Saccharomyces cerevisiae S288C: one gene and its partners. The gene in region 2 interacts genetically with the main gene of each other region. Each region holds a gene or a part of one and is shown on either strand. Other genes may lie near its edges.

Evidence for each region.
Region 1: of TEC1 (region 2) and SFL1, changing one suppresses a phenotype caused by changing the other (phenotypic suppression), as found in Saccharomyces cerevisiae (4 studies listed by BioGRID).
Region 3: mutations in TEC1 (region 2) and SWI5 together harm fitness more than expected from each alone (negative genetic interaction), as found in Saccharomyces cerevisiae (3 studies listed by BioGRID).
Region 4: mutations in TEC1 (region 2) and STE50 together harm fitness more than expected from each alone (negative genetic interaction), as found in Saccharomyces cerevisiae (2 studies listed by BioGRID).

What each region holds. Positions count from the first base shown.
Region 1 is NC_001147.6:583,345-589,825, reverse strand, and holds SFL1 (Sfl1p), read right to left. Parts: upstream 2,846-6,481; coding exon 545-2,845; downstream 1-544. Other genes in the region: RUP1 (Rup1p), read left to right, coding at 3,502-5,517; SIA1 (Sia1p), read left to right, coding at 6,145-6,481. UniProt on the Saccharomyces cerevisiae protein: Involved in cell surface assembly and regulation of the gene related to flocculation (asexual cell aggregation). Mutations in SFL1 causes constitutive cell aggregation.
Region 2 is NC_001134.8:407,077-412,646, reverse strand, and holds TEC1 (Tec1p), read right to left. Parts: upstream 3,479-5,570; coding exon 2,018-3,478; downstream 1-2,017. Other genes in the region: trifunctional formate-tetrahydrofolate ligase/methenyltetrahydrofolate cyclohydrolase/methylenetetrahydrofolate dehydrogenase MIS1, read right to left, coding at 1-1,593; E2 ubiquitin-conjugating protein UBC4, read left to right, coding at 5,478-5,524. UniProt on the Saccharomyces cerevisiae protein: TEC1 is involved in the activation of TY1 and TY1-mediated gene expression. It is not involved in mating or sporulation processes.
Region 3 is NC_001136.10:746,318-752,348, forward strand, and holds SWI5 (DNA-binding transcription factor SWI5), read right to left. Parts: upstream 4,426-6,031; coding exon 2,296-4,425; downstream 1-2,295. Other genes in the region: TAF12 (Taf12p), read left to right, coding at 421-2,040; bifunctional choline kinase/ethanolamine kinase EKI1, read left to right, coding at 5,314-6,031. UniProt on the Saccharomyces cerevisiae protein: Determines the mother-cell-specific transcription of the HO endonuclease gene that is responsible for the initiation of mating-type switching in yeast. Recognizes a specific sequence in the promoter of the HO gene.
Region 4 is NC_001135.5:60,188-65,494, reverse strand, and holds STE50 (Ste50p), read right to left. Parts: upstream 2,055-5,307; coding exon 1,014-2,054; downstream 1-1,013. Other genes in the region: RRP7 (Rrp7p), read left to right, coding at 1-820; MXR2 (peptide-methionine (R)-S-oxide reductase), read left to right, coding at 2,213-2,719; LSB5 (Lsb5p), read right to left, coding at 2,773-3,837; dithiol glutaredoxin GRX1, read left to right, coding at 4,322-4,654; GFD2 (Gfd2p), read right to left, coding at 4,769-5,307.

The DNA of each region.
Region 1 (6,481 bases), on a different chromosome or scaffold from region 2:
AAATAGTCCCGCTTAGACGGCTATGATGGTAACATGCATGGTGCAACAACTACAGAATAGGAGCACAACTTGAAGGCGTCCATAAAGAATAAGGTGTCTTTTTGTGATGGTTGTTTAATAGCAAACATACATATATACTTATAGAATTATTGTACAGGAAGTTTATCGAAAGGTGCATTTTTCTGTTTATGAGACAATACCCCGTAGCTATTCTGTGATATACTAGAAAGAACGGGCGGTATTATGATACGAATTGAAGGGAGGTAGGGGAAAGGAAGGTGGAAATGAAAGTGGAAAATACAATTTAGTGTGATGAAAACTTAATAAAACAACTACCGGAGTTGGTAAAAATATAGTTATAATCACAAGGATCAGGAGGAAAAGAAAAAAAAGTGAATAAAATAAATAACAATGATTACCCGTTGGGATACCTAAAATGAAATGAAACAAAAGTAATTGAAACAAAAGTAATTGGAACAAAGGTAATAAACATACAGTGAGGTGCTTTGAACTTTTAGACAACTAGAGATTAAAAAGGCAAAGATCACATCTTAACCTTTTTGAGTGCCGGAGCGGCCTTATCTTCAGTTTTAGGATCAGCACTGGACGTGCTGCTATCCTCTTGATTCAGTAAAGAATAAACACCGCTCCCTTTTCTCTTACTATTGTCAGCCTCGCCAGTATTCTTAGTGGTGCTCGTTGTGGGCAAAGATGGCTGCGGTAGTTCTATTTGTGGTGCAGGTTCTGCTTGTGATAGGCTTGAGCTGTGCTCGACGTTCATGGGGGAGTTTATTAAATTTGAAGAAACAGCAGGAAGATTGTCCATGTTTTTTGGAGGAGGGCCCGTCAAGACAGACGAGTCTAATGGAGTTACCGAATCTGGAGCACAATTAGCAGCTTTGTTTAATGAGCGAAGCAATCCCTGCTGAGAGTACCGAATTGGGGCTGGATTGTTGGCAACTAGTGTAAAAGAGGAGGATAAAGACGTGCCCGAAATACTGGATTTGAGAGAGTTTCTAGGTTTGGGATACAGACTATCTTCATTCAACGATGATCTCGGTGTCAGCTTCAGAGGACTGTTTCTTCTATCGTTGGGCAAAGAGCTTGTAGACCCGAGACTTCTCATTTTTGGTTGAGAATACAATCTCGTTGTTGGTTCATTAATAGGATATATTGGACTCGGAGCCATATTTTGAGGGACAGGCTTGTTGTAGTCACGGACAGAAGGATTAATATTCATGATAGGATAGTTTAGTGGACCCTGAACTCCAACACTCGCTGCGGGAGTCAGCGGGTCCATGAGAACACTATTGGTCCTCTTCGTGTTGCCCGGTTTGTTGTTATTTTTCGAGGCAAAAGGATTGTGCATCATTTGTGGAGTGCTAAAAGTGTCTGCATATTGTGGAGGTAGTTGTTGGATGGGTATCGGCTGATTGATAAAGTTTGGTACATGTGCCGGTTGCTTCGCATAAGTCACATGTTGTTGCGACTGCGGTTGGTATTGTACAAAAAGTTGCGAGGGCGGCACTGAAGCCGTGTTGAATCTCGAAGGGATGTTCGTGGTCGAGGAAGATTTCTGCGGGACATACTGGTTCCCTGGAGGAACCATCATCTCATACTGAGATTTGGGTGCATATGCAGATGTGGATGTGGGCGCGGGTGCAGGGGCGACAGAGGCAGCGGTAGCGGCAGCATTTACAGCACAAAGAGAATCTATTGTACGGTGGGCCCTCGACATGACGTGCTGTTTGAAAGTTAACATATCGCTTTCGAATGCCTGAAGTTGCTTTTGGTGATCCTTCACGATATTTTCCGATTTTTTCTTGCTCACATTCTTGAAGGTGAAACTCTGTGAACAAAAACTGTGTTGCAAAGATATGAAATGCTGCATAGACTCTATAATCTTAACCATATCAAAATTTATTTCTTTCAAATGTTTCAGTGTTTCATCTTGAAAGTTCGGAGGTCTGTTTTGCTCTTGCATTTCCGGGTTATTGGATTCCAGCGGGGCATGGTTTGCGTTTTCGTAAGTTACATGAGAGTTATTAAAGTACTCGGGGATAGAGTTATTGGCGCCCGGAATTTGCGGAACGAAATTACCAAAGGAATTGGAACTGGTGGACGGGTCTTGAATCGAAGAGGGTCTTACTCTTGCACCGGAATCTATATCGTAGTTTTGATTACTAGAATTCTTTCGACTGTTAATTGAGGAGTTATTACGGGAAGAAGCTCTTCTCTTAATGTGTTTGAGTCCCTCAATGTCACCTTTCTTGAAAATACCAGAACTATGCTTAAATTCCCAGATTTTAGTGGGGTTACTTTTCTCCTTTTCTTGGACACCGCCACCGGTATTTTCGTCGCCACTACTGTTTTTGTTGCCACTATTATCATCGTGAGTATTGCTGTCATCATTAGTATTGGCGTCGTCGCCACTATTAGCGTCGTTGCTGCTATGATCATGCGACACCTTGTGAAAGCCGTAAATGTTCAACTGTCTTACAAAGCTCGTGATATTAGTATGCTTGAAATATGTAGCCAAAGCCTTACTAAACCGTTCCACAGGCTTAATCATGAAGGATAAGCCCGAAGGGGTCCACCATATCAAGTCGTGTAGCGATTCGTCCTCCAGAATCTGGTATAGCTTATGGATGAATATCGCATTTTGTGGCGGCCTGGGCCCCACTAGCATCTTCGACCCATGTTTCTTAACATCCTCGGCACCGTCGCCGCCTTCAGCACCAGCATTAGCTATTCCAGCTGCTGCTCCACCACTACCTACATCGGTTCCAGCCGGGGCCGGTGTAGAAGCTGGAGCTGGGGCTGAGACCGTTTCCTCTTCACTCATGATTTTTTCTTCTTTTTTTCTATATAACTGATTTGTGCTGTCTTAGGACCCTCTGAATGTACCAAATAGTGTCGAATTACAATATTCTTTGTTATGTATATAGAGCTGAGTGCTTTGTGTGCGTATGCGTATGTGTGTGTGTGTGAATTTTTTCCTTGAACCTGTCACTGTGGCGATGAAGGTTCACTATGTTCTTTTTTCCCTGCTTTTCAAACTATCTTTGAAACTTTCCACTTCACACCAGTACGACTTCTTTGAAAAATTCGTAAGTCGAATAAATAATATTATTTCGCCGTGCGTTTGTGTTTCTGTTTCAACAACCCTTTGTGTGCACCTGTATAGAGTGTTTAAAAAGAGATCCTTCTTGCTAGCTGAAAAAGTTTATGTCGAATAAAAACGTCTTTTCATGTACTGAACATCTGTTTTTCCGGCGGAGATGCAGCGATGGATGCGCTTGCTGCCAAGGCATCTGTGCCGGGCGGGTGATGTCCGGGCGACCCGGCACGGAAGTAAAAGATACTATTGTTGAAAGGTACTTCTCACTACAAGGCTTAAGGACCTGTCGGAGTAGAGGAAAGAAGAGAAGAAGCCGGAAAAGGAGAGTCGTCACCTGTAAAAGGAATCTTAAGTAATTGATTTTTGTTAAGTAAGCTACGATGATGGATAATCAGGCTGTAAAGTCACTGCTAGAAATGGGTATTCCACACGAAGTAGCTGTGGACGCCCTCCAAAGAACTGGCGGTAATTTGGAGGCAGCAGTTAACTTCATCTTTTCGAACGAGCTGCCGGAGCAAGCGGAAATGGGTGAGGAGAATGATGGCAGTCAGCCTAGGATTTCTGAGAACAAAATAGTGGCTGGAACCAAGCCCTGCGATGTTCCGAACAACGGGGACCAAGACATTGATATGCCGGATGTGAGTGGTGTCGATGTTGATTATGATGACGATGAAGACATCACGGATGAACGCAGCGGTTCTAATAGCACCAGCGGATGCAGGGTTACTGCTCAGAACTACGATCGTTATTCTATATCGGAGACATCCATTCCTCCCCCCTCTTATAGTATAGTACAACACAACGAGTTCAAGTCGAACGTGGGCGATCCTACGGTTGTGTTGCCGCTACCCTTGAATAGTCTAATTGAGAGCTATTTTGGGCTGTTTGCGTTGCTCACGGCCGTGTATTTCCCACACGTGTTCTTGAAACCGGACTTTAAGGATTTGAACTATAGGGCAGACTGGTTCAAGGGCTCATCGTTTACGGAGCCCAAATACAGACTTGCATATTGCGAGGCAGAAGATGGTTCCACTACGTCGGAGATCGTGCTGGCCAGCGGACCTAATGAAGGGTTGCAACCGCATCTGCTCTGGCAGTTGCAAAAACTCATCTCCGTGGTTAACACGCGAAAGTGTGAAAGAGCCTTTGTTTCGGCCAAGGTGTTTACGTCGTCCTTGGAACCGCAATTGAGGTCCAAGCTGGCCGATTCCGAGCATCTTTATGAGGTGCTCCCAGCGTTTATCAAATCATTGGCAGTGGATTTGGAAATGTGTCCTGGGATCAGAGACCGGGAAACAAGAAGTCTCTTTATATCTTCTGCTTTGCATACTCCGAACAAGAATGAACCTCCAATGGAGACGTTTTTGTCCTTGTTTCATTTTCTTCCTGAAGAGTACGATTCTAATCTATATAAAATGTTCAACGTTTTATTGTACCCCGAAGAAGAGGAAGAAGAAGAAGACGTGATTCGTGGTGGCGAGCAAGAAGAGGCGAGATATGTGGAACCGGAGAATACTTTGAAGGAGGTGGCACCCGTATTAACAATCCTGTTCAATGAACTAGAAACAAATACAGAATCAGTGTCTCTACCCAATGGCGTGGATATACCGCTTGAGTTTTACCCACAGCTTTACACCAAACAGTGCAAAGACCAACTAATAAGACATATTATTTCTAAACGAAAGCAAGCGCGGACCAGATCCAGATGCTTGCTTCAAGAGATCAACGAGTTAAAGAGTTACCAAGGCAAAAACATATCCACTATTCTAGAGTCGACGCTGGCGTATCTACAAACAATTCCTGACGATGCTAATAATGAAGCAGCAAAGCAGATCGCATCGTTGAAAGATACATTAAATTCTGCGAGAGCCGCTAAAATGGAGGAATATAAGGACTTGGCGTCCAAACTGCATGGAGAATGGAACCTTTCACATCCAGAGACACACATAATCAACACTGCAAAGCAATTGGGACTGATCGAAAATCCCTACATCCTCACAATGGCAGCACTATCGCCATATTCATACTTTATCAGAAGCAGAAACGGTGCATGGTCATGGATACAAAGTAATACGTTGGGAACAGAATTCAAGGTGAAAAAATGTTCGTCGCCTTCTGTCGTTCAAGAAGCCATCAAGCATGGCACGAAGTACGCAAGTGAAACTCCGCTGATGTTCATATACTGTGAAGAGGGTAAAATTCCCACGGAAGAAGTAGTCGCGGAAGCGTTGAAAAGCAATAGCGGGTGCTTAAAATTTGCTGAGGATGACCAAAATTCATTAAAAACATTGCGTTCGCAATTTTTCGATGGTATGGGAGATCCTGAACAAGCCACCAACAATATTAACAATGGTAACGATAATGACAATGACGATGACATCGATTCTGATAATTAGATAGATTTCTATACACTTTCCGCCAGATAAATAACGTATGTCTCTTTAAACTATGATCTCATTTTCTCTAGTAATTTTGAACCGCATATATGTTACTAGTTTACGTTTTCAATACTATAGAAACTCCGCTTGGAGGCTAACTGCGCCCGCAATCCGAAAACTTCTATTTACGGACATAAATTAGACTCTAAGGATCAAACAAAAATAAAAAGGTTGACAGATAAAGGACAGTTTTAATTTTTATACTTTTGATCTGAAATAATGCCAAGTCCTAAACTTATTATAATATAGCCTCGAACACAAGATCATTGAGTTGCTTTTTCTAACTTCTCCTTTCTTTATTTTACTTTAGCCGCAACAATACCCCTTCTATTTTAATTCTGACTTCAATTCATTTCAACTTTACGACCTTTTTTTTCAATTTCGGTTCTGCAGTACTCTTCATTTGTCGATTAATTCGAGGTTTTCATTATTTCTTGAAATTTCTTTCAAGTTGCTTTAGTTTCATTTCCAAAAGAGATTTAAATAACTTACCTTTTTCTCATTCCTTTCGATTATTTTACTTTCCAACAATTAGCTCTTATCACATTCATTGACCTTCGCAAACAATACCCTTCAAATATTTGCATGAGATTACATTATAGAAGAAGATTTAATTTTTTAAGGAGAATACTTTTTATATTATGCATTACTTCATTGTATTTATCGAGAGATTCACTAAAGCTACATGCAAAAAATGTATTAATGGATCATAATGTAGCAGAATATCATGGCGGAATGATAGACGATATTCAAATCCTGCGGTGCTACCATTGGTACAGGCAATGTAGTTCTTTGTATGCCCCGAAATTACACCCCTCCAATACTGCTAAAAAGATCAAAGACAAAAACAGCATTCTGTGGACCAGAGTTTCTAAGAATATTACTGTAGAGACATTGTATTCACTTCAGTCTGGACCATTCT
Region 2 (5,570 bases):
AATATCCAATCTTTTAAGCCTTCTCTGCATGGATGGGGTAAACTTTCTGATGCCTTTTTTTCTTGGAACTAGTCTCTTGTAAAATGTACTATCATTCTTCTGAGTGGCTTCATGGAACATTCTAGTGTCGATAGCTGCTGCAAGAAGATTGTTCGCAGCGCTGATAGCATGAATATCCCCGGTCAAATGTAAATTGAACTCGTCCATAGGAATAACTTGGGCATAACCACCACCAGCAGCACCACCTTTGACACCCAGGGTTGGGCCAAGAGATGGTTGTCTAACGTTCGCGATGGATGGTTTCCCTAAATGAGCGGATAAAGCCTGCACCAACCCCATAGTCGTAGTGGATTTACCTTCACCCAATGGAGTCGGAGTAATACCTGCAACAAGGACGTACTTACCGTTTTCTCTAGATTCTAATCTTTTAAAAATATTTGGAGAAATTTTTGCCTTATAGTGGCCGTATAATTCTAATTCGTGAGAGTGGATTCCCAACTCCTCGGCAACTTGCTTGATATGCTTAGGACTCTGAGCTCTTGATATATCAATATCTGAAGGCACTGGACTTTCTAAGTGTAATGGAAGAGGTTTGATAACTGGAAGCTTTTCAGATTCCACGAATTGCCTTTTAGCAGCTAATAGTACATTGGAAACAAGCATAGCGACAGTCATTGGACCCACTCCACCAGGAACAGGGGTAATATAAGATGTCTTTTCCTTTACAGAATCAAAATCAACATCACCAACTAATTTTTGCCCACTTTTCTTACTGATATCAGGTACGTAGTTGATACCTACATCAATAACCACGGCGCCTTCTTTAATCCAGTCTGATTTAACGTATTGAGGAATACCGCAAGCTGCGATAACTATATCAGCTTGGGAGACCACTTCTGCAATGTTCCTTGTATGACTATGACAGACAGTAACAGTGGCATTCGCATTTTTCAACAACGAAGCAATTGGATTTCCGACGATACTTGATCTGCCTAACACGACGGCGTTCTTACCATCTAACTTAACATGAGCTTCTTCAAGTAATTTCATGCAACCATAAGGAGTACATGGTATGAAGTATGGTTTCCCTCCTTTTTTAGCCAATTCACCAGCATTATATCTGTGGAACCCATCAACGTCCTTTTTAAAGTCCACAGCGTTTGTAATCGTGGTTTCATCCAAGTGACGCGGTAGAGGTAGTTGAATTAGCAACCCATGGATAGAGTCATCATCATTGATGTCACTAATTTTCTTCAAAAGCTCAACTTCAGTGATTTCTGCTGGTAACTTCTCTATGATACAGTCTACATTGCTGTCCTTTGAAGCTTTCAATTTCATCCTCACGTACGTAGATGAGTCTGGTCTGGCCCCGACTTGAATGATTTTCAAGGTAGGCTTGAAATTAGGATGCTTAAGCTTAATGGCTTGTATCTCATCATTGGCTTTTTCTCGAATAGATTGAGCAAGTTTCCTACCAGAAAGAATATGGTATTGAGAAGCATGCACAGTTGGCGAAACTTTTAAGCGGTAAATGCGCCATCTGGCCTGTTGGAACGCCCTCGAGTTACTCAATAAAGATAGTCTCGACAACATTTCCTTTTAGCCTTAAATATCTGACAAATGAACAGACTGAGAGAATCACAGTAATGAAAGTTGTTTTTTGATGTGTATTGGCTGGTTTACTTCTGCAATTCTTGAGGCATCGAGAACCGCTGCAACATTATTTCGGAGGAAAAAGAAAAAAAATCGCTGTCCGTTGAAGTGAAAAAAATTTCAGCATGGCGCTAGAGAACTTTCTTACTCGTTCTGGCGCGTCAGTAAAAAAGAACTCGGGAAACAATAAGAACCATACATGTGCGATAGAAGAGTGTTGCAGGAGTAGCTTTGGTTTTGTTCGAGAACTGGTAATGTTTGACTAATACATAATTGTACCGTGCTCAATCATATCTGTGACGGTTCTTACTACGAAGATACGTATGCGTATTTATGTACGAGATGTATGTATGTATGTAGACATTTAATAAAAGTTCCCATGCGATTGGTTGGATGGCGTAAAGTTCCTTTGATGTGGAGAATGTTCGTAATGCTGGGGTGATGATAATAACAGCTGCGAAAAATAAGATGTTTGGTACTGGGGCAGACCTTGAATATAATTGGCATTGTAAGCATCTTCAGCAGGTCTTGGATACATGGGCCTTCCTCGTACTTTGGAGAGTGAGTAGGGCATTCCATTATTCTTGTAGTATGGCACTGGTCTGCTTTGGAGTTGTGTGACTGTGGCTGATCTTGGGACTACTTCTTCCTCCGATTCGTACTCTGAACCGGAATTGGAATTGGAACTGAACTCAGGATTACTTTCATGTTCTTGTATGCGGGAAATTCTTTGGTATTTGTTGATTATCTTTCTCTGCTCTATTTCGATTTTTTTTGCACTCTCCAGGATTGCCTTCTTGTTGGAAAAGCTAGCCTTATTGGGGCGATCTCCCTGGTGGAGTTCCGTGGGGGAAAGTTGTTCAAGAGGCCTCTTTGACGGAACGCACTTGTAGCCGTCTATGTTTTCATAAATGTGCTTAGCGTAAATGAGGGGGGTTTTGGCTTGAGATGCAGCATTAGTTTTTATGAAATTTTCAATTTTTTTCTCGTTGGAAGCAGTGATTGGCGTAAGCAGTTTTGAATGTACTGACAATCCACTGCTATTATTACTTACATAGAGGTTTTTAGGGGTTAAACTTCCAGAATCACTGACTGAAGGTAGAGAGTCGATAATTTCTTCAAATATGTCATAAAACAGGTTTGAGTTTTCAGTAGTTTGTTCAGCGCCATGTTCGATAAGGTGTAGAAGCTCCTTCTCCTTTGATGATAGGGTCAGCGAGTCCTTGATTTTGTTTTGTATGGTCTTCTTCCAGACTTGAATATGGGAAGAAATTTGCTTTTTGGTTCTGAACTCGTTGGTTTTGTGCTTGATATATAATGAAATCAGCTCGTTTCTTCCAAAATTGGCATTTCTTATTTTTATTTTTGTGGTCCCATTTTTCATTATCAGTCTAAGTGCCTCAAGGAATGCCTCTTCTACCTTTTCTGACCACTTATCACAACCGATAGTCCAAGATTCCGTTGTTGACGACGTTTCGCTACTTTGTCCGGGAAAGTAGTTGCTCACAGATATATTTGGTACTTCATTCTTCCTCTGCTTGTCAGTGAACGTAGCCTTTGCTGATGGAGATTTCAAATCGTCCGATTTAGCACCCAGTCCAGTATTTACCAGTTCGAATTGAGGATGCGTGTCTATGAGATTGATGTTATCCTCCGCTTCATTTTTCACACAAGCGGCGGTTGAAACTACGGCTTCTGGAAACATATCATCCAAGGCCGACTGTGAATACGAATCTTTTTGTATATATACGTCAAAAATTCTACCAGTATATGATTCTATATTTCTAGAATTATCCTTGCCAAAGTCGTCTTCTTTAAGACTCATGGTTAAACAGGTATCAGAATTGTTGAAATAGGTGGATTATTCTTCTTGTCGATATGGGAGGAATCTGGCACCAGTCGAAGAATCTCCTGTTTCATAAACATTTATAAAAGTAAGAAAAGGGTTGTCATATGTAAAAAATTAAGCAAGCCTTTTGTTTCAAACTTAATATATACCTCTGCGGGGGAATTACTTTTTTGGTAATAAGCTATTTTCTCCAGCTATGGGCCGTACCATCGAGAGAAACTCCAGCACCATGGATTGCTGATGGTAGCTACAGGTGCTTTTTAACTGTGCATGAGCCAAGAGCCTTGTGAGGGACCATTCGTGGAGTCCAGCTCAGCTTGTTTCCGGAGAGTTTCCCAGAATAATAAGCAAACGCAATCTGAAACACGCACATTCCCGAATTCAATGGGAAATTCTTTGAGTCGTACGCGGAATGCGAGCGGTGCCGGGGAATTCCAATGAGGCTGATTAAACCGGACTACGGGCAAAATGGCTCATCTGAAACACCTTGCGCCGATAAAAGACCCTCACCTGTGTCACTAAATGGAAAGAGTTGGCGTAAAATCTTCCTGTAAAAGGATCTCACCATTTTGGCCTAAAACATCATCATATCTGTTTTCGTGGAAAAAAAAGGCCGCTCATACATGAATACAGTGGGCACATGCCACCTGTTATTCCATAGCTGGCTTTACTGTAATATTAGAATAGTTCCTATCTGTGTGAAAAGTTTCTTTCGTTACCTTTTTTTCAGAGTCAAAAGCTGGAGGAGGCTATTGTACTTGCCTGTAGTTCCAGGTAACAATCGCTTAAGCAGTGAGCCCGCTTAATGAGAGCAAGTTATATATGTTTTGCTAAAACCTGCCAGATTCTCAGCCTAGAAGATATAAATCTAACGTGGATTTGTTACAGGCTGTCATACCTTATGTACTTACGCATCGTATCTTGTATGTGTTCACTTTTTTCTGGTAACTACACCACTTGGCTTAACCTTGCCAGGAACCGAGTAGGCCACACATGTTTTGAATATTGTAAGTGTGTACAATAAGCTGCAGTACTCTTTTGATTCTGTAGGAAACCAGCGAAGAACGTACTCTTGCCTGAAGAGAAGTTTTTTTTATTTATTTATATTTTGTTCTGGAAGCTCTTTACAGAATGGAGTAGGAAAATATATAGAGAGGAAAAGCGAAATCGTTACGAGAATAAATAATCAAGAAAAGAAACTTGAACTTGGCTTTTCCAAAACAACAGAAGTAGCGTTAATTTACTTTCACCGTAAAATTCAACTCTTTAAATATAGTCCACTTAGTAAATTCTTGCCAATTTGCATGATAAATTCGAACCCATTCCTCAAAATAAAGGGTCCTCATACATTCCATGGAAAGAAAGTTTTCTTGAACATTAAGAATAAAAAGGCAAAAAAGAAAAAAAAAAGCACAGCTACTGTTTTAGTCAACATTCCTTTCTCACTGGAATGCACAAGGTGTCATTCCTGAACAAGGGTAACTGCACTATTCATATGTCCACCTTATGACTTCATAAAAAGTTTGACAATAAGTAGTCTTACGTGATAAGAAATGATGTAACATAAGGCTAATGTCCTTATTCCAAAGTATCTCATTTATACAATAAACAAAACTGATCTTACCGCCTATCCTCCTCTCCGCACTAATCAATTGTTATAGTTTTTCTCGAAGCGAGGATCAAATGGCCGAGCAACAGGAAAAGGAGTACCGGCGGTCACATGGTCTGCGAGATTTTTCCCGCTGCGGAAAAACCTGGCAACAGCTCACCTTGAAAGGCCTTGGCCTGTATTTTTCTTTTTTCTTCATCCTTCTTTCTTTTTCTTTATTCTTATTTTTCATCTTAATAAATAATCCAGAGAATAAATCTATCCTGAAAAAAAATAAAGTAAAGAAGCCAGGAAAATCACTATCGCCACAAGTAAATAAATTTCACTGACTATAGAGTACATACATAAACAAGCATCCAAAAAAACATGTCTTCTTCTAAACGTATTGCTAAAGAACTAAGTGATCTAGAAAGGTATGTCTAAAGTTATGGCCACGTTTCAAATGCGTGCTTTTTTTTT
Region 3 (6,031 bases), on a different chromosome or scaffold from region 2:
TAAACTTTCTCGATGCGTAGCTGAAATTTCAACTTCAAAAAAAAAAAAACGCGTGTAACTTTCTACGTGCAAAACGATGTGTATGAATCCCGTCTTAATTAGTAAATAGGGTCTAGTAAGCGTAGCGAGGATGAATTAAATGCATTGTTGAATATGAAGAGCACCTTATGGTATATAAATGTACAATCTTGATTCATGACAGCTTTGCAAGTAAACGTATCAAATGAATATCACGATTTTGGCTGTATTACCCGGGCAGTATACGCGGCGAATTTTGTTAAAAAATGTGTTAGACTTAAGTCGGAGCAAATGAATAATGGGCATATATAGCGCATAGGTTCGCTAGTGTAAGACAGGAGACTGTCCAATAGCATTCGAATCATAACCGAATCTTTGCCAGTGTGTGTATAAAATACGACAATGTCTTCCAATCCAGAAAATTCTGGTGTTAATGCGAATAATAATACGGGCACTGGTAACGCTGATGCGATCACAGGAGCTCAGCAAAATATGGTACTGCAACCGAGACAGTTGCAAGAAATGGCCGCTAAGTTCAGGACATTACTGACTGAAGCAAGAAATGTAGGTGAAACTACTCCTAGGGGCAAGGAATTGATGTTCCAAGCCGCAAAGATCAAACAGGTATATGATGCCCTTACACTGAATAGGAGAAGACAACAGGCTGCGCAAGCCTACAATAATACTTCAAATTCAAATTCAAGCAATCCAGCTTCTATTCCTACTGAAAATGTCCCTAATTCATCACAGCAACAACAACAACAACAACAACAGACAAGAAACAACAGTAACAAATTTAGCAATATGATAAAACAGGTTCTCACCCCGGAAGAGAACCAAGAATATGAAAAGCTATGGCAGAATTTCCAAGTCCGTCATACGAGTATAAAGGAGAAAGAGACCTACTTGAAACAAAATATTGATAGGTTAGAACAAGAAATAAATAAACAGACGGACGAAGGGCCCAAGCAGCAGCTACAAGAAAAGAAAATTGAACTGCTTAACGATTGGAAGGTGCTAAAAATTGAGTATACCAAGCTGTTCAATAATTATCAAAACAGTAAAAAAACATTCTATGTAGAGTGTGCAAGACACAATCCGGCTTTACATAAATTCTTGCAAGAAAGCACTCAACAGCAACGAGTGCAGCAACAAAGGGTACAACAACAACAACAACAACAGCAGCAGCAGCAGCAACAGCAGCAACAGCAACAGCAACAGCAACAGCAACGCCAGGGTCAAAACCAAAGAAAGATTTCTAGTTCTAATTCTACTGAAATACCCTCTGTAACCGGCCCTGATGCACTGAAATCGCAGCAGCAGCAGCAGAATACAATAACTGCCACCAATAATCCCAGGGGCAATGTTAACACTTCACAGACTGAACAATCGAAAGCTAAGGTAACCAATGTAAATGCAACGGCATCTATGTTGAATAATATAAGTTCGAGCAAATCGGCAATATTCAAACAAACAGAGCCTGCCATACCCATATCGGAAAATATATCTACCAAAACACCAGCACCGGTAGCTTATAGATCCAACAGACCTACAATAACTGGAGGTTCTGCTATGAATGCCAGTGCTTTGAATACACCAGCAACAACTAAATTACCACCCTATGAAATGGATACTCAGAGAGTTATGTCAAAGCGTAAATTAAGAGAGTTAGTGAAGACTGTCGGAATTGATGAGGGTGACGGTGAAACTGTCATTGACGGTGATGTTGAGGAATTACTATTGGATCTTGCCGACGATTTTGTTACTAATGTTACAGCTTTTTCTTGTAGATTGGCAAAACACAGAAAATCGGACAATTTGGAGGCAAGAGACATTCAGTTACATTTGGAGAGAAATTGGAATATTAGGATTCCTGGTTATTCCGCAGACGAAATAAGAAGTACAAGAAAATGGAATCCCTCTCAAAATTATAACCAGAAATTGCAGAGTATCACATCAGATAAGGTAGCAGCTGCAAAAAACAATGGAAACAATGTTGCAAGCTTGAATACAAAAAAATAATTATGTTACCCACATTCTCCACTCTTCCACAGAAAAAATTCCTAAAGTTATAGTTCACATTGTTATATATGTATCTATAAAGCGAAATTTTTTAAAATTAATTGATTAATTAATATTTTGTATCTAAAGTGTTCATACTATATTATTTACTTAGATTATACATAATTAAAAAAAAAAAAAACTTTTTTTCCTTGTTTTCATTTTGTTTTTATTATTAAATATTAAAAAAAGTGTCCATAACATCAATGTTTTTTTTTACCTTTGATTAGTTTTCATTGGCGAAACCATAATCCCCGTTCCATTCCCATCATAACTACGCTCTCTTCTGAGTTGATCTTCAAGCTTGAACATCAACTGTCCATTATGATCCTTGTTAATATTTTCTTTGATTGGACTACTAGAAACACTTGAAGTTCCATCTTTTCTTGGTCTTCCTCTTTTTCTTGGAGACCTTTTAATTACCACGTTTTCATACTTTTTACCACCGCTGCAAATCATTCTACTTCTGTGCACAACCAAAGCGTCTTCTCTATTGAATTTCTTACCACAGGGACATGCATACGCCTTTTCTTGGTGCGATTTTTTGTGTCTTATCAAGTCATGATTTCGTACAAATGCCTTATCACATCCAGGGTGATCACAGGAATATGGCCGATCTTCCAAATGTGTTTGAATATGAGATCTGATGTTATACCTTCTCTTGAATGTTTTTGTACATCCAGGAAATAAACATTCAAATGTTTTATCAGGCATTTCCTTCACATATTTATCGATTGAACCTCTGGGCAGTGTTGTGAGTTTTCTTGTGATTTTTGAGGGACTATTTGTGGTATATGTGTTGATTTCCTTAATGTGTGTGCCGAATTGAGGAGATCTTCCTTCGTACTTACTTTGTGACTTAAGAACGGGAGAAGGCGTTTCGGAAATAACAAATCTACTTTCAGGCTCATTTTCCTCATTATCATCTCCTTCATTGTCTGTATTTTTCGTAAGTACATTAGGGTCTAAATCATTGAAAACGCCTTCCCGATGTCGTGCTTGCTGGCTCGGCGGCTTTAGATGTGGTGTCGCAGCATTGATACCCAATGCATTCTCACTGATAGAGCTAAAGTGTAACTGCTTACCTCTTGGTGTATATTGGTCTATATAACTGGAGGAAAGGGATACTTTATTGACTGATGGAGTATTATTTACAGACCCAGGAATTGTAGGCATAATATCCACAGAAGCACTCTTTAAAGACACTGATTTTGTAGGAGAAGGACCTGGTTTTCCAAGAAGTTCAATACCCAGGCCCAAAGGTTTCTCTGAATATTCGCTTTCCTGATCTTCAACATTAATCTTGAAATCTAACCTTAAGTTATTAGGGGTAATGTTAGCAGAGTTGGACGTAGCTGAACTAACTCTACTCTTTGGAGTGAAGGGCGTAATAAATTTGGTTTTTGAACTGAGGTTTTCATTTGGATTCGAGCGAATTTTCTTTGGTGAAATGAGGGAGTCATTGAAACCTTCGTTCAATTCCTGGAAACATAGTGGTCCTACAGTACCACTAGAGTTTTTTCTCTGCAGGCAGTACTTTTGTCTATTGTTTCTCCTAGAAGGTGACCCAGTGAACGAAGTATTAGACATTGGTGGGGAAATCATTGGTGAAAGGCTATTTGCGTATACATCCTCCACATTTTCTGAAGCAGGAGAGATCTTCCTTTTGGGAGATAAAAACTGTGGACCATCAGAGTTCTCTAAGGTAGCCTGTAGTTGTTGTTGCTTGTATTGTGTTTGTTTGAGTTCTAACTCTAACTTCTTATTAGCCTCTTGTTGTGCTCTCAATTGCTCGCGCAACTCTTGTTGTTGCTGTAACAGTAATTCCCCGAGGTTTCTATCGAAGCCTTTATTAATTTCACTTTTGTTTATAGTCGACAATAAATTATCCGCCATGGAAATCTTCTTTTCATCGTGGGGCTTATCACTCATTGTTTTTTGATAAACAGTCATACCACTGTCTTGATTTAATCTATTTTCATTCAACAAGCTAGTTGCATTTAGAGTCACTTCTCTTGAATTATTTTCTAAGTCAAAGTTCATACTTTGCCAATCATTTCCTATTAACTCGGAGAAAGTAGAAACCTTGACAGATTTTTCATCAGAAAGTGGTCCCAGCGGAAGGTTTAAGTCATTTATTTCATTCATTATAACTTCGTTGGTTTCACCATAGTTTAGGTTCAATATATTGCCTAAATCATCTGTTGCTAGTGTTTTATATTCGCCTTCTATTGCATAACTCGAAGGGTCACTGCCTCTAGCATTTGAGTAATAAGAGTTGGTTTGTAGGTCAAAATTTAGGCTTTGTACTTTTGAGGCATCAAACCAAGAGTTTGATGTATCCATCTTTTTCGAAAAAACAATGACGTTAATATTTTATTTGATTGCGCTTTAATTATATCGCAGATGTTAAACACGTTCTCAGGATCTATTTACCTAGCTCCAAGAACGAGTTATATGGTGGTATCTATATTGTCGTTCTCAAATCTTTCTTCCAACGATGCCTTTTTGTCTTCCGTGCCAATACATAAATAGTGAATAAAATTGCAGACGATCCTCTATAGTACTCAATCATTGTTTATAGAGCAGATCTATAGGGAGAAAGAAAGATAATTAGTCGCTAATGGTAGGTATTGTTATTGTTTACCTTTTTCCTAAACAGGTTAAAGTACGAAAGTGAAAATTTCATCCTCTCTACTTGCCCGGATTGGGATTCAGACCAAGATATTTCCAACAATGCTGCTATGAATTGGAACAGAGATGTTCTAATGAATATTTAACAAGGTGTGAGCGGAGTGTACCACTCCTATCGGCTTTCAGATAATCATACTACCTTTCAGAATATCTAACAATAACACTCCGATATTTGATTCGCTCTCCTTTAAGACAGAAATAACATTGGCCCTAGAATCCAATGCCGTAAATATCTACTTGACACCATTTAATGAAAGAACTGTCTGACTGCCGAAGTTTTATAAGTAGTTTGACTATGTTTCATAAGTTAGGCCACTAGACAGCATGTGAAAACGGTGATGATAGTAAAAAAATATCGTTTGGGTTTTGGCTACCCGGAGGTCGTTTGCAAAAGAAAGTGTATGCAAATCTACAAAACAATAGATGTCGTTGTTGAGATAACAGATTGGCACAAAATTACTAAATTGTTGTGGTACGCAGCTATAGTTTGTACGAAAGTAGTAGCAGAAATTAACAGATACAGATCTGCAATTTGGCATAATGTACACCAATTATTCACTTACAAGCAGTGACGCAATGCCCCGAACTTACTTGGTCGGCACAGCCTCACCAGAAATGTCTAAGAAAAAGCGCCAGTCTGCAAATTGTGACAAGCCAACGAGGAGGGTGATCCACATCATCGATACTAATGAGCACTCAGAAGTCGACTTGAAAAATGAACTGCCAATAACATGCACGAATGAAGACGGTGAGATGACATCAAGCTCATGGACTTCACAAACCGCTAATGATTTTCTCAAACTGGCATACGTAAACGCGAAATTAGACCCGTCTTTGCCATCTCAATATTTCAAACAAGATATCATAAATGTTTTACAAAGCTTGGAGATTCCTGGATGGTCTGTGCCCGGCTCTAAAGAATCCTCGTTGAATAAGAATTTATTAACTTTGACACAAATCAAGGGGGCCCTTACAAATGTTATTTATAAGATTCACTATCCAAACTTACCCCCTTTACTGATGAGAATTTTTGGTGATAGCATAGATTCTGTAATTGATAGAGAGTATGAATTAAAGGTTATTGCGAGATTATCATTTTATGATTTAGGACCCAAACTAGAAGGGTTTTTTGAAAATGGCAGATTTGAAAAATACATTGAGGGTTCGAGGACATCTACTCAAGCCGACTTTATAGATCGGGATACTTCAATAAAAATTGCTAAAAAATTGAAAGAGTTGCATTGTACTGTTCCATTAA
Region 4 (5,307 bases), on a different chromosome or scaffold from region 2:
ACTACCCAAAAGCCAGGAAGCTTCGTTGCATTTCATGTTTGCTAAAAGACACCAGAGTTCAAATTCCAACGAGTCTGACTGTTTGTTTTTGGTCAACCTTCCATTATTATCTAACATAGAGCACATGAAGAAATTTGTCGGGCAGCTCTGTGGGAAATACGATACAGTATCGCATGTAGAGGAACTACTATATAACGATGAATTTGGATTACATGAAGTAGATTTATCGGCATTGACCTCCGATCTGATGTCCTCCACTGACGTCAACGAGAAGAGATACACACCAAGAAACACGGCGCTATTAAAATTTGTTGATGCTGCAAGTATAAATAACTGCTGGAATGCTTTGAAAAAATACTCGAATTTGCATGCCAAACATCCAAATGAACTATTTGAATGGACATATACGACTCCATCATTCACAACTTTTGTTAACTTCTACAAACCACTGGATATTGATTATTTGAAAGAAGATATTCATACACATATGGCAATTTTTGAACAGCGTGAAGCTCAAGCACAAGAGGATGTTCAAAGTTCTATAGTGGATGAGGATGGATTCACATTAGTTGTAGGAAAGAACACCAAGTCATTGAATTCCATAAGAAAGAAAATATTAAACAAAAATCCATTATCCAAACATGAAAATAAGGCCAAGCCAATTTCAAATATAGATAAAAAGGCAAAGAAAGATTTCTATAGATTTCAGGTCAGAGAACGTAAAAAACAGGAGATCAATCAACTGTTAAGTAAATTTAAGGAAGATCAAGAAAGAATCAAGGTAATGAAAGCTAAGAGAAAATTCAATCCATACACTTAAACCACCATCCTCGTCATCATATTCAACATATCTCAATATATCTATAAAACTAATAATATAATATAACATAATATAGTATAATAGTATAAGTTTAAAGGCATCAATAATTTTTTTCTTTCATATATATTCTGCTAGCATACATGTTATCCTATTCGTGTAAGTTTAGTATGATGATGTGCATGACAACTGCACATTAGAGTCTTCCACCGGGGGTGACATTGTCACTTCCGTTCATCATTGCTACTTCTTCGAAATCACCTCTTCTTCTTAACATAATGGCGGGGTGCAAACCCTGTTGCTTTAAGTTCTTGAATATGATCACAGGCTTTTCGTTCAATTCTAACAGCCTCTCTTGATCCCCATAGCAAATGACCAAGACATATTGTCTCCAATCCTGATCTGCTAAGTTATGTCTTTTCATTGCGTTTTTCAAGATCCGTTCGCAGGAGTCTTCTTTAGATGCACGCAACTGTTTTAACGCCTCGTTAGGTGATGGCCCCGGTGTGTTCGCTGTTGAAACGGCAGATGGGTGAGATTGGTTTGTAGATATTTGGGGTACTTTGTTTTTGCTATCCTTGTGCAAAGATTTTGAGTGGGAAAGACTGGGTTGCCTAAATACCGTTACCGGGGATTCTCTCCTTGACGGTGATTGTCGGTTATGAACTGTGTCGAAATAGTCTGTTTGTGAAAGAGACACACCGTCACTACTGGGTATAATTGTGTTGTTTGAAGAAGGTACCGTAGTGGACACTCCATGTGTGTTAATCGGAGAAGAGCTTGAGCTGGTCTTCATTACGTCCAAGACATCCATCCTCAGCCTTGTGTACTGCGATTGAAATTCTTGCAATTTCGCAGATGTAGTAGTGTACAAGTTTTTCAGTACCGTTATCATGTCCTCTTGAGTCTTGTCGTCCTTCCACTCCAACTTGCTGTCTCTCATCTTATTGATCAGTATCTTGAATTTTATGGCCTTATTCAAATCACCGTCACACAAGTCCTGGCAATCTTGCAAGCACAATTCCGGCAAAAGATCTCCTACAATATCATTTTCTCGCAGTCTCTGACATAATGGATCGGTTTCTTCCACCTCCAGCGTGGATATACACCAAGTTATCACATCATCAACCGACCACTGGGAAAAGTCTTCATTATTCATCAATATTGTGCCATTCACGTCCAGATCCGGCGAAGCATCGTTTGATCCCTCATTGATGGCCTGTTTACCGTCCTCCATCTGATTTGCTATCTCTGCTAGTACGACCTCTGTCTTTTCGAGTCCTTCGACCTAGCTTCTTTGTTATAATTAGCGATAGTATTTTTCAGCTTTGCCTATTGGGAAATATGTCGCCGATGATAGTTTAAATAAAGGGAGAAAGGAAGCAATATCAAAAAATGAATAAGTGGAGCAGGCTGTACGTTATAACTGTACGCAGGACTTTTCCAGGGAGAAGAAACATTGTACTGACGCAGTACTGGAATAAGAGCAAGAAAATGAGTGACGAATCGAATGACGTGAAGTGGAACGATGCCCTGACACCATTGCAGCTGATGGTGCTGAGAGATAAGGCCACTGAAAGGCCCAACACCGGTGCGTATTTACACACCAACGAGTCCGGTGTCTACCATTGTGCCAACTGCGACAGACCGTTGTATTCGAGCAAGGCCAAGTTCGACGCTCGTTGTGGATGGCCCGCATTCTACGAAGAGGTATCCCCTGGAGCCATCACATATCATCGTGACAATTCTTTAATGCCTGCGAGGGTGGAGATATGTTGTGCAAGGTGTGGTGGACACTTGGGACATGTGTTTGAAGGTGAAGGCTGGAAACAGTTGCTAAACTTGCCCAAGGACACCAGACACTGTGTGAACAGTGCGTCTTTAAACCTCAAGAAGGATTAAATGTACTATATATATATATATATATATGTGTGTATGCATACGTACATACTTCTTCAAATTTTGTTATGATCACCGAAAGGGTTTGAGATCGTGGACGGCTGATAAGAAGACAAGCTCTCTTCCTCTGAGGACTCGCTATCAATATACCTGCTGTTATCCTGCTCGTTTTCATCATAAATACCGTCATCGTACGAGCCGTGATCACTTTCATCGCTGCTATCGTCCTGAGCGCTTCGGTCGTCGTATGCAGTCAACGCAGCCACCAGTTCATCATTGGCATGAATTAAGCTACCCAGAAACTCACCCTCCGTGACCAATTGCAGATATCTAAGAACTTTCCTTCTGATCGCCCTTGCCTGGATGAACTTGGACGTGGCCTCTTCATCGTCTGTGGAGAACTTGCCCTTGGGCAGCCCGATCAGCGAGTTCTGTAACGACACAGCAGACGCGAGAGCATCGCTGATTATGAGCCGAATCCTGGGTGCCTCTTTGTTCATGTTGATCTGTGGAATCCTATACAATCTATCGGCACTAGTCAGCGAGTTGGACTGGTACAAAGTGTCGTCGGCGCTATCATCCATGAAGTTAGACCGTCCGCCAGAGCCTCCGCCGCTACGGCGGGAACGGCTGCTCTTCGAGTACCTCTGTTTGACTGTTTGACCCAATTGATAAAGACCTGAATACGCCCTCGCATTCTCAAGGTTGTTCTGCGTAATATAGTTTAGCCACGAGATAGCATACGCCGCGCACTTCTTAATAATCCTAGGCTCATACTTTTCACCGGACCCGCTGTTTTCAGAGTTCGTAGCCATCCCTCTCAGCCTTTGCAGCAGCTTGTCATCATTGTACATGACTGTAAACTTCACGCCTTGTGAGATGAACAGATCCAAGAGGTCCAGAGTCCTGGACTGCTGCAGCCGGTTCCCATACTTTATTTTCTTTCTAAGTGCTCGCGCAGCTTCTTCTTGGTTCACGGTATAGTTATAATCGTTGTGATCTGCTTTGATAAGCTGAATCAAGGGAGCTAACTCCACTTCTAGCGTATAGTCCCTTGAAGAGACAATTCGAAAGATCGTCTCGGTGATAGCTGTATGCGGATGATCCGAAAGAAACCCCATGTTCTTGTTTTGCCTGCCTCCAATGCTTTATCACTCTCTCACACTGTCACAATCGTGTTGTCTTCATCCTTAGAAAGGATACCACATTGATAAACAACATATATAAAGTTTAACTATTACCTTGATCACTTTACACGTCAAGGTCAAAACAGTTTCATAGTTATCACCTTGAAGTATGGCTCCATCATCTATAAAACATGAACTTCATGCACAAGTGAGCTGTCTACAGATAACGAGCAGCCGCAACGGCGTTTCCAGATTGCGATGCTTGTTTTCTTTATCTACTACTGCCTTACTACCCCCCTTGCGCCTCCTGATTCACGTGATGTGGGAATTTTGTCTTGAAAGGAGTAAATATATAAAATAAATGAAAAGTTTATATAATATAAAAAGGGACTTTAGCATAAAATAAAGAACTTCGTGCAGTACTTATACGAGCATTCGCATAATTATACAAATAGACAAAACCTCAGAAGGAAAAAAAATGGTATCTCAAGAAACTATCAAGCACGTCAAGGACCTTATTGCAGAAAACGAGATCTTCGTCGCATCCAAAACGTACTGTCCATACTGCCATGCAGCCCTAAACACGCTTTTTGAAAAGTTAAAGGTTCCCAGGTCCAAAGTTCTGGTTTTGCAATTGAATGACATGAAGGAAGGCGCAGACATTCAGGCTGCGTTATATGAGATTAATGGCCAAAGAACCGTGCCAAACATCTATATTAATGGTAAACATATTGGAGGCAACGACGACTTGCAGGAATTGAGGGAGACTGGTGAATTGGAGGAATTGTTAGAACCTATTCTTGCAAATTAAGGGCAGACAAAGTTTTTTCCATGCACACAGGTTTATAATGAGCTTATATATATGTATATGTATATGTATACAAGCATGTGTTTGTATTTACAGGAAAAAAATCGATGAATATATTTAGTGTGTCGGAAGAGTGCTTGTGAAGGCGTCTTTAGCAGTTCCGAAATACGTTAACCCACCGAATTCCGTTTGGCAGACTCTTTCCTTCCTACTGCTCTTGACGCCCTTGCGGTACGTCCGATTTTTGACTGCCTCCTCGATGGAGATGGCATACGACATGGGCACCACTTTAGGCTCTCGTACGTCTCGTTCTCCCCAAACTTTTACTTGGCCCATTACTTTAAGAACATCGTCCATGCCGCTTATTTTCCTGAAATTAACATCGCAAAACTTCATGAACAAATGCAGGGTATAGTAGGCATCGTTACCGGCATTGTGTAGAAACGCATGCGGTATCTCGAACAACCGCAGAATCTTGCCCAGACTGCTGCCCTTTTCGCCATACGATTTCCTGTAAAACTGCTCAGTGTCCAAGATGAACACGTCTAGATCACCGGGAGTTTCAGCCAAAAGCAGCGTATGGTCCAGATGGCCTTCATACCCTCTGCCAGGGAATTTGACACCAATAGTCTCCAGCCACTTAAGATCCCCGCTCA